Arabidopsis thaliana: one gene and its partners. The protein of the gene in region 1 interacts with the protein of each later gene in a pairwise test. Each region holds a gene or a part of one and is shown on either strand. Other genes may lie near its edges.

Region 1 (3,756 bases):
CATAATTTAGTTTATGCTGCTTATGGACGTGGGAACATGCTTGTAGTTTAACTTTTATTTGGTCGTCAATTTGATTAAAAATTATACCTTCATTGATTCTTTTTGAAAGATACGTATTGTGAATAATGTATAAAGGATTTAGAACATAATTATGATCCTTGAGACTTGTAATATTTTATTAACTAACCGAAAACATAAGCAAGAGAATCGTGGATAACGACCTAACGTATAAGAAACATGAGACATGTCACAATCACTTTAAAAGTTTTCCTATCAAAACTCGAGTAGAAGCACATGAAATTTCTGGATATTAAAAATAAATAAATCAAAATAGCCTTATATTATTGCTGTCAGGAAATAATTCTATTTAGACTACCTGAATTTCCAGTTGAACGGCGTTTTTCCAAATTGCAAGCATCATATATTATGCTCATCGTATCATTAGTGCATAAATAAACTATGGACCAATTTCATGGTGAAAAAGGGGCTTCGGATGAAATTTTTGATCAAATTATATTTGTTTATTGATAAAACAAACGTTTTTTTTAAAGGATGACAGTTGTGCGTTTGAGATGAAAACCAAACACTGCTCCCACTCAAAATTTGTAAAAATGGAATTTATAAATATTTGGTGCTACAAATGTCGTTTGGTAGCCTTTGGAAACATTAAAGGTAAACTAGAGATATGGGAGTATGGAACTTAATCTCTTTATGTGGTTGTATTTCATATAATTTCACGTGGCCCAACTTGTTTCTGTCAATCCATTGATCAAAGTTGGTAGACAAGAGTGAACCCACACACACTCACACACATACACACGGTCGATCTTTTTTTCTATTCTCGTGTCCCTACGTCCTCTAAACCCCATCATTATACTTCTTGTGTTTTATTGGTATGCTGAGCTAGAGATAGTTAACAACTACCCAACAATGCGGGTCTGGCTTAGTTTGAACCTATTCGAAACTAGTTATACTCCGCTTGAAGTCATTGGTTCGAGACTAACTTTGGAGATGAGTATCATAAACAGCTCTAACTTAAGATTACAATACATCCTCTTGTTAGTCTAAGTTGAGAGGTGTTGCCATTGACTATATATTTCTTTGGGAATTTGGTTTACCAGGATGTTGCAAAGAAGATTTAAATAGTTATAAATTAGTACAAATTCAATCCATATGATATGATATTCAAAAAACAAAAAAAAAAAAAAACTGATCTAAAAGTCGAACCAAATTCTAATTTGATTAGAGCATGTATATAATTGAATCCCTAAGTAAAATTCAACCCAATACTTGAGAAGGTAGTTATATTCTTATAAATTATGGATATGATTTGATTAAAACTCAAACCTGAACCCAAAACATACTAGAATATACGTTTTTACTTTGTAACTATTTGTCACATTCCAAAACTAAACTCGGTACTATATTTGATTCTGATCCATACAAATTTTGTATATCTGGTTTATATTCTCCATGTGAGATTAAAGCGGTGACCAATCAAAATCATTGCTGGAATATCTTACTATTAAGCTAAATGTTGTTAGTTATATACAAGCCAATCCAAAAAAACTGATGCAAAGAGAGATAAACGAACATATCCCAAAATGGTAGGATTTGATTTAATATTCCCATCCTCTTATTAGAAATGCAAACAAATAGACTATAGTTTTATTTATTTATTTTCACTATAAAATAACTAAATAACATGAACTTATTGAAGAAAAAGTATACTATAGTTGTGATTCTGTGATATACTAGTTAGAACAAGAATCTTTACAAAAAAAAAACACATGGGATGTTAGGAGAAGGAGATTCGGATTCCAATGATCCAACGGTCAGAGAAAAATCAGAAGAAAATTTCACAACCGTAGGATCTGTTCCCTTAACCACCTTGTAATGCCGGTCTTTATTAATTTTGAGAAAAAAATAAAAACAGCACCAAACTTATGTCTCTCATGTGACCGACCACCGCATCCTCAGTTGACCTGTCTCTGCCCCCACTTTGTCTCCCCACACAAACTGAATAACAAGAAGAAGAAGACTTTAGATATCAAATGACTCCACGTGTCGATATTGGATTGGTTTTCATTGGTTGTATCGTGTGGACCAACGAAGCAACATATAAAAAGCACGACGCGGTGCCATTACTACAATAAGAGAAGTGTAGGAGAAGAAAGTTCTCATTTCATAATTGTATCAAATTGTGAGAGGAAAAAAAGAAGTTCAAGAAATGGAGAAGGAAGGACTCGGGCTTGAGATAACGGAGCTGAGATTGGGGCTTCCGGGGAGAGATGTGGCAGAGAAGATGATGAAGAAGAGAGCTTTCACGGAGATGAATATGACGTCGTCGGGTAGTAATAGTGATCAATGTGAAAGCGGCGTCGTTTCATCTGGTGGTGACGCTGAGAAGGTTAATGATTCGCCGGCGGCGAAAAGCCAGGTGGTGGGGTGGCCACCGGTTTGTTCTTACCGGAAGAAAAACAGCTGTAAGGAAGCTTCGACCACGAAAGTGGGGTTAGGGTATGTGAAAGTGAGCATGGATGGTGTGCCTTATTTGAGGAAGATGGATCTTGGTTCGAGCCAAGGCTATGATGATCTAGCCTTTGCTCTTGATAAGCTCTTCGGTTTCCGTGGCATCGGTTAGTAACAATTATGTTCTCTTCCCATAAAAGTAGAGTGGTAATTAGATCATGTGGAAAACAACTAATTATATATAGTTTACAAGACGTCCGATTAAGAACTTAGAGTGTTGTAGTCTTGTAGACGTAATGGAGTAGTATAGTTTAGTGCTGTTCTTTCTTTTTATGTCTACAACCAAACCAACACCCCAATTTATGATACAATGACAACACTAATACAAATATAGTTAGAATTTTGGTTAGCAGTTGAACTGATTGTGGTAGCAATGTTATAGATTTTAATTTAAAGTGTTATGAAAGGACAAATATGTCGAGATTTTTATTAGTCATCTCAGGAAATTTATTTACTTGTTCTTAGAGACTTAAGACTAGTCCTAATTTAACTGGTTATTTTTCTCCAAACTGTTTTGAATTATCTGAAAATTATCTATCATAGAAAATTAGAGGTTTCGGTTACTACATATCCGTAATTTCTAAAAATCAGAATTTATGCACCACTTGTATAGTTGTATTGTTAATTAGACTTTTCTATATACCGAATTCGCCATATTATCAACACAATTTTAAATTTACATATATACATATTTGTGCAGGTGTGGCCTTGAAAGATGGTGACAACTGCGAATACGTTACCATATACGAAGACAAAGATGGAGACTGGATGCTCGCCGGTGATGTACCTTGGGGGTATGTTCTATCTTTTGACTTAAGATATCTCACTACAAAAAGAAAATGTATCACAAACTAAAGTAAATGAGTTTGGATATTTTGATTTGCAGGATGTTTCTAGAGTCATGCAAGAGGTTGAGAATAATGAAAAGATCGGATGCTACCGGGTTTGGGCTGCAGCCTAGAGGAGTAGACGAGTGATGATGACTTGAACAAGAAGCAAGGAGCTGGTTCATTAATTTAATCTTAAACTTGATCATCAAGATCCTTTAGAACATTTTTCCTATTCATGTTATATAAATATATATGTTATAGTATATTATTTTGCAACAAAATTTCATGTTATGGTTTTGCATAATTATCTTCAGAAAGACAGCTATATATATATACACTACTTGTTTCTTGAGTGTTGAGTTAAAACATTAATCTGTTTCAAAATTTATTGTTA
Region 2 (3,756 bases), on another chromosome or scaffold:
TTTTTGTAACTATTATTAAAAATAATATTCGAGATTTGTTAACCATAGTATAACATTTGTAAACCACTAAACATAAAAGTAACGAGAAAATCTCCTAAAGCAAAGTAACGTTTCTCTATATTTAGCGTTTTACAAAATTTATGTTAAAAAATTATGTTTAGCGTTTTACAAAAATTATGCTAGAAAAGTTTATGTTTAGCGGAAATCTAAAATCACTTAAAACGCAAAAAATTAATCAGTACGTAGATTATTTTCCACAACTCTCTCTTACATACAAATTAACAAATAATGCATATCAGAATGACATAGTAAAGTCGAGAAAATCATGGAATCGTAACGAAACTTCCTCGTCTCTCTCTGATAATTCATCCAACTCAAGTGGTGTATTTTGTGGTTACATTTACATATATTGTCAACACCAACTGTCGAATTCATTAAATCGGCTAAAATACGTTGATGTGATTCTGGAAATATCTTTAGGACAGTATATGAGTTATTCATCTTGTTCATTTTCCACTTTCCACTGCGGACACCATACGGACACACAACCGGTTCTGAAATGCGTCACGCTCTTCTTCCTTTCATTCCAACTTTAATACATGCATGAAGTCGTAGTTCGGAGTTCATACTAAATTTCGGTCACTTTGTAATAAGAAAACTATTAACATTTTTCTTTTTCTTTTTTTAAACGTTAGCTAGGCCTCAAAGTTTCACAAAAAAAAAAGAAAAAAAAAAGCTAGGCGTCGAAATCCATAACTTCAAAAGGCCTTCTTACATTCATCCAATCTCCAAACTTCTGTCTTCACGCATTTATTGCTCAGGGACATCATGTCGCTACTCACTGCCACTTATTTGAATTGACATCCATTCATTCCATACATATATATTACCTTCACTTAAAGTTGTAAGTATATAGAATTTTAAGCATTCCTGCCAAATAAGTTTTGGATCGAACCTAAACTAACAAAGAGGTTACTGTTTTGTAACTTTCTTTTTTGATGTGGGGTCATTCAAAGGGTTTACATGCATTTTACAATGGTCTGTGATGAATATGGAGGTTCAGTCTTTGGTAGATAAAACTTGTTATGTGGCCTTAAACCAAATAGATTGTAGTTTGTACAATGACATATTTATGGTTATATTCGGTTTTCCAATATGTTTAGGAATATATATCACCGTTTTTTTTTGGGTAGACATTTTAACGATTATAGAGGAAAATTTTGAATGATGGCTGTACTGGGAAAAGAGTGTAAGTTGTGATCATCATATGTAATTTTATTTTGTGTGACATTATAACACTTCTTCCAAAAGACAAAAGTTTAGGTTAATTAATATAAGAAACCAATAAAGAATCATGAACAAAGAGAGAACTTCTATCATTTTTGATATGAAATCGTCCGTTAAAATATTGTTCTTTGTGATCGCATATGCTGTATGTACTTAGATTTGATCAATTAATCAACATTTACAACAAAATAAGATCAATTGTTTATAATGATGATCTAAGCGAATTTAGATTTGTTTGTTATTATAGAACTCATTACTAAACATTTAAGTTCCATTCTCGTTTAAAACATGAACGCTAGTTTATGAAACTCAGAACCAACCATGTAAAACTCCACAAAATTTCTAGTAAAATGCTTTTGTTCAAAATAATGAAAATCATAAAATTTTTTGATGAATTATGAATCCTAAAATCTATCTGAATTAAATATAGTTAACTACAAAAGAAATTGCCAAACATATATGTACGCACTTTGATCAAATAACTAGCTAGTCAGCTTAGTTTGTTTTTTTCAATACATCCCCTATAAATCTATGTTATCCCTAATCAAGTATTACAATAAATGATACAGTAATAATAACCTTAATGAAAAAAACTTATCAAATTATCAGAGATAAGGAAAAAGAAAACACTAATAAAGTTGTTTTTTTGTGTGTCAAAGTTAAAATTTTAGAGGACAATAATAACATTAAGAAATTAAATCGTGGCCAGTTTGCTAGTGAATATGTCGGCTTCATGAGCATAACTAAATAGGTATAAAAAAATAAAAATATCGGAAAAAGAAAAGAGAAGGAAAAAAAAAGGAGAGGAAGAAGAAAAAGCTGTTCCTGTGCTTTAGCAGACCTTTTGGTAGTTGTCCTGGTCGCTGATCATCCCTTTCCGACAACTCTGTTGCTCTTTCTCTCACGTTTGAGTCTTAATCTTCGATTGTCCTTGGTCATCCTTAAGTTTTGTTTTTCTCTTTCGATTCATTTTCCAGATTTCTTTTTATAGAAACCCGTCTCTTTGATTTGATTCCCCCCAAGAAAGGAAAGCAAAACAAAGAAGAGCAGCTGAATCAAGTAACTTTGTGGGTGTTTTTGAATTATCTGACTCGAGATAAAGAGCTTCGTTAAAAACGGAATCTTTTTTAAGGTCGTATGCTTTGTTTGTCTCTCCGGAGATTCCGCGTGTGAAAAGTCGTGGTTTTTGATCTCTTTGAGATACTTAAAATTTCCGAGAAATTGGCGGCTCTGTCGGAGATAAAAAGCTGAGATCTTGGAGTTCCCCATTTCTGATTAACGATTCTCTCTGCTGTTACTTGAGCTAGGAAGCTATTAACAACTTGAGTGAAAGTTTAGGGCTTTTGATGAAGCTCTCACGCAAAGAGCTTAGCTTTGTATAAGCTCAGATTCAGATTATTTATTGGGTTTATTCTTCAGAGAAAGTAAAGTTGAGTGATCATGAAAGCTCCTTCATCAAATGGAGTTTCTCCTAATCCTGTTGAAGGTTTGTGTGTTTCTCGTATCTGATAAATGTCAATCCTTTAGTAGAAGAAATTCATTGCTGGATTTGAATAGATTCAAGTTTTAAGTAGAAGAGGTCACACATTTCTTCAGAATTGCTGGATTTGAGAACCTGAATTGAATTGGTTTCGGTCATTTTCTGCTTAGAGAGTAAGCTAAGTTACTATTGTATTGGTTTATAAAGACTGTGGCTTTTAGTTGGTTTAGAGCAGTTCTCTCCTATCTTGTTGGTTTGATAATAGTAACTGAATGAAGATCCTAGAGATTTTAAGTAATCACAGCTTTGATGTTGTGTGAATGCAGGAGAAAGGAGAAATATAAACTCAGAGCTATGGCACGCTTGTGCTGGGCCATTGATTTCGTTGCCTCCAGCAGGAAGTCTTGTTGTTTACTTCCCTCAAGGTCACAGTGAGCAAGTATGTTGTTCAATAAAGTTTGGTATCATTCGCGGCTGATCAAGAATGAGTCGCTGATTGGAAATTTCATGTGGTTGCTATTTATTTTTCTGTTTCTTAGGTCGCGGCTTCAATGCAGAAGCAGACTGATTTCATACCAAGTTACCCGAATCTTCCTTCCAAGCTCATATGCATGCTCCACAATGTTACACTGAATGTATGGTATCTTTTAAATATCTATAATGGCCTCTTAGGCTAGTTGTTTTAACATTTTTTGCTTTTGAGTTGCTAATGTTTTGCTAATTGTCGACTGTGAACCAGGCTGATCCTGAGACGGATGAGGTCTATGCGCAGATGACTCTTCAGCCAGTAAACAAAGTAGCTTACCTTTCACTGAATAACTCGATTTATAGGTGTATTTAAGGAGTAGGGAGGGACTAATTGCTCTGAGCATTTTGTTGAACAGTATGACAGAGATGCATTGCTTGCTTCTGACATGGGTCTTAAGCTAAACAGACAACCTAATGAATTTTTCTGCAAAACCCTCACGGCGAGTGACACAAGTACTCAC
Region 3 (3,756 bases), on another chromosome or scaffold:
AAGAAAAAAATTGCAACCACCATCTATCCCTCAATGCTCAATTCTAACTCCTTTATTTATTTATTTATTGTGATGCTATAGTTTGTTTCTTCTTCTTTCCATTAAATAAGTCAGATTTTATTTTCTCTTAATTAATACAGTAAGTTTTAAATTATGTTTTAGTTATAAGATATGAATTAAACACATAGCATTATTTTCTTTAATACGAGCAAATTCTCCGAAATTTGTAAAATACATAGAATTTTTCTATCAAAAATAAAAGTAAGAGTGTAGATTTGTATTTGATGGGATTTTTATTCTAACTGTGATATCTATATGACAAAATCTCTATTATTCTAACTTTTTTCTTTTTCTTGATATCATTCTAACTTAATCATTAGACTACAATCAATTTGTTTAGAATATATTTGTGTTGCGCTCATAACGATTCTTTTCAATATATATTGTTTGATTAAAGCTTTTAACAAAGTACAGTTTGCTTTCTAAATTATTTTTAACACGTATCCAGTTTTTTAAAAATATATAAAAATATATTCTTCACACCTATCATTTTTTATAAATAAAATATTTTTAACATTTAAAGATATATAAGATATTTCTAATAGTATAATTTATTTTTAATACTTATCATGTTTCTTAAATGGTTTGAACGCTTCGTTTCATTAGTTTATCCAACCTACCTCAGTTATGATATTACACTTTAGTAAAATAAAAAAAAACTGGTTATAAACTTAAAATATTATGCTTTGCTCGTATTAAAGAATTTCAGTACTTGTATATCGTTTTTTTAATTATTATTATGATTTATGACCTCGCGATTCGTGATGGTTAGTAGTAGACTAGTCGTAGTGGACAACTACTGTAAGAAAAAAAACTAAAAATAGATAGACACACACGCTAAATTAAATAAATCGTAAATCACGATTACATATTTATGTTTGTACTTGAAAATGTTATCGCTTTACGTGTGGTGATGGTGAGACAACAGTGTTTGTGTTTGGACGGGATAGATGTCAAATTACTCAAACGTGCGACTCTAAATTACACAAACTCTCATTTATTGCCCATCCTCCATCGATATCTTCACCCCTCTAATATATTTTAAAAATGTTATTTATAACTTCAACAATACACATTCGGTTTCATTTACAATTAATCCTTGCGTTATTATTACTTCTAAGCTATAGTATCTTGTACTTCCTTCCCCTGCTATTATTTAAACGGAAAGAATCCAGCTAATTCCGATCCACCTGCTCCTAGTAGCAATCTATCTATAAACAAACAAAACTAAAGTATAAATTATCACGAACATCTTAACAATAATAGTCAATGCAAGTGGTTCTTGTGTATACAAAGAATTAATAGGAACTACTATCCACATCCTTACGTTTACATTTTTCACAACCAATCATGCACTAAATTAACCTCTAATGAAAAAGTTAAAAATAAAGAATAATATTATCAAAGAATAATGATAATGTTCAGCAACATGTTGGACCAAGAAATGTTCAAACAATACTATAATATTGAAATATTTAGTAGTATTAGTTTTGTTCTTGTTTTTTTTATATGAGGAACATCAGCCATATCGTATAAATCGTGATAAACCGAGTTTATAAATCATATTTCGTATCTCGCCGAGAAGAAAGACGACGTAGCATCTTTACGAGTTGAACATTTCTCCATCACGTGATGTTCGATGAGTTAACGCATCTCAAGAGCAATTGGCTCTTCAATGTCATATCCGTAAATATTAGTCAAACTTGAGGGCAATGACTCAATATAAAAAGCTTTGTCGTGCCACGAGGGATCTGGAGACAAGTCTGACACATTGAATGAAACTCTAGCCGTTAGATCTCCGTCCTCCGCGCCATCTGACAAAATCGACGGTTTTCCAGATAGGTGTAAAACTCATCGCGAAGGAGTGGATCACACCTCTGTGGAGTACAGCTGGCAACTAATATTCCGAGCCGATAACGTCGAGAAATGTAGCCGATCAAGTCGTAGTTATAAGCAGTTCTACTTATCATTCCTGCTTATCGCAGTTAGCTTTTCTTAGAGTGATAGCTAACTTATTTTATCAGCATCCAATTATCTGTCACCTTCTCTTATTAAAATCTCCATTTCTGCAAGTTTTAATGTCCGTATATATATCTCGAAGAGAGAGAAAATCCCTTTTTCTCTAGATAGAGAGAGAGAGAGAGAGAGAGAAGAAGAAGCTTTTTAATTTAGTTTTGCTTTCTTTCAAGTTTCCTTTTTTCGATAGAGAGAAAAAGAGTCCAAAAATCAATCCATCACCTCTTTCGTCTCTGTGGTCTTCTTCTTCTTCTTCATCGATCTCTCTCTCTTTATGGTGAGTAAGCTTCACGCTTCTTTCTTCTACCTTTGTTGCCTCTGTTAATGGAATCTAGCTGTTTCGAGTTTTATTGTATATATTTTTTTATCCTTTTGCCCAAACTTTTTTCTGGGTTTTGCTTTATTTTTTCATCCCCCTTTCTGATAATTAATTTGCTTTTTTCATGTAGTAAAAAAAGATTCTTTTTTTAAGCTATTAAATTCACATCTTCCAATTCCAGGAAGACCTAAATTTCCTCTTTTTTTTGCCGTTATCTGCAGAGATGCGAAGTTTCTGGATAATTATTCAGATATAGGTTCCAAGTTTTTAGCTTTCATTTCTAACTTCTCTTTTCGTGTTTTTTAATTTCCATAATCTGGAAACTCAGATTTGAGCTCATTTCGGCCATTGTTTATATTGCAGATCTGGTGATAGTTTGGTTAGTTGTTGTGCATCTGAGTTAGAAAAAAGTCTTTTAAGGAAGTGAGAGAAAACATGTCTTCTCTTAGTAGAGAGCTCGTTTTCTTGATCTTACAGTTTCTCGATGAAGAGAAGTTTAAAGAGACTGTTCACAAGTATGTCTCTTTTGCTCTGTAGATTTCCTTGGATCTAATTTACCAACTGACCTGTTTAGCTCTTGTGTTGGTTAATGCATTATTGCTTTGTCATGTTCAGGCTTGAACAAGAATCTGGGTTTTTCTTCAATATGAAGTATTTTGAGGATGAGGTTCACAATGGAAATTGGGATGAGGTTGAGAAGTATCTCTCTGGTTTCACTAAAGTAGATGATAATAGATACTCTATGAAGATATTCTTCGAGATAAGAAAGCAGAAGTATCTCGAGGCTTTGGATAAGTAAGTCATGGTTGGGGATTTGTTTTTTTTTTTTCCTTTCAGTGAGATAGCAAAAGAAAAAGAGTCTGATTTGTGATTGACCTTGGTGACTTTTTTGTTGGTAGGCATGATCGTCCCAAGGCTGTGGATATACTAGTGAAGGATTTGAAAGTGTTTTCAACTTTTAATGAGGAGCTTTTCAAGGAAATAACACAGCTCTTGACATTGGAGAACTTCCGGTAATGTTATATTGGATTAATGTAGTGTCCAAAGCCTTTGTTTTCTTAGCCGTAGTTCAAAAGAAAGATTGATGCAGAGTATTAAGTGTTTCGAGTTTGATCAACTTTTAGGGAGAATGAACAGTTATCCAAGTATGGGGACACCAAGTCTGCAAGAGCGATCATGTTGGTGGAACTCAAAAAGCTGATTGAGGCGAATCCTTTATTCCGTGATAAATTGCAGTTCCCTACTCTTAGAAATTCAAGGCTGAGGACTTTGATCAACCAGAGGTTTATTGCTTTGTCCCTTAATCTTTTTGTCTTATTCACTTCAAGTTGTTGTTGGCATATTAATTCATTCTATCTTTT

What was found.
Region 2: the proteins of IAA19 (region 1) and NPH4 interact in binary tests that used the Arabidopsis thaliana proteins (3 or more experiments, as listed by UniProt).
Region 3: the proteins of IAA19 (region 1) and TPL interact in a two-hybrid assay, tested with the Arabidopsis thaliana proteins (3 studies listed by BioGRID).

What each region holds. Positions count from the first base shown.
Region 1 is NC_003074.8:5,261,870-5,265,625, forward strand, and holds the start of IAA19 (indole-3-acetic acid inducible 19), read left to right. Parts: upstream 1-2,131; 5' UTR 2,132-2,230; coding exon 2,231-2,639; intron 2,640-3,232; coding exon 3,233-3,326; intron 3,327-3,418; coding exon 3,419-3,509; 3' UTR 3,510-3,756. UniProt on the Arabidopsis thaliana protein: Aux/IAA proteins are short-lived transcriptional factors that function as repressors of early auxin response genes at low auxin concentrations.
Region 2 is NC_003076.8:7,020,476-7,024,231, reverse strand, and holds the start of NPH4 (Transcriptional factor B3 family protein / auxin-responsive factor AUX/IAA-like protein), read left to right. Parts: upstream 1-2,118; 5' UTR 2,119-2,727; coding exon 2,728-2,773; intron 2,774-3,093; coding exon 3,094-3,206; intron 3,207-3,306; coding exon 3,307-3,402; intron 3,403-3,506; coding exon 3,507-3,563; intron 3,564-3,651; coding exon 3,652-3,756. UniProt on the Arabidopsis thaliana protein: Auxin response factors (ARFs) are transcriptional factors that bind specifically to the DNA sequence 5'-TGTCTC-3' found in the auxin-responsive promoter elements (AuxREs).
Region 3 is NC_003070.9:5,419,434-5,423,189, reverse strand, and holds the start of TPL (Transducin family protein / WD-40 repeat family protein), read left to right. Parts: upstream 1-2,156; 5' UTR 2,157-2,353; exon of another isoform or gene 2,354-2,616; 5' UTR 2,617-2,651; exon of another isoform or gene 2,652-2,758; 5' UTR 2,759-2,830; coding exon 2,831-2,910; intron 2,911-3,010; coding exon 3,011-3,190; intron 3,191-3,294; coding exon 3,295-3,408; intron 3,409-3,519; coding exon 3,520-3,678; intron 3,679-3,756. UniProt on the Arabidopsis thaliana protein: Transcriptional corepressor. May repress the expression of root-promoting genes in the top half of the embryo to allow proper differentiation of the shoot pole during the transition stage of embryogenesis. Regulates the expression of PLT1 and PLT2.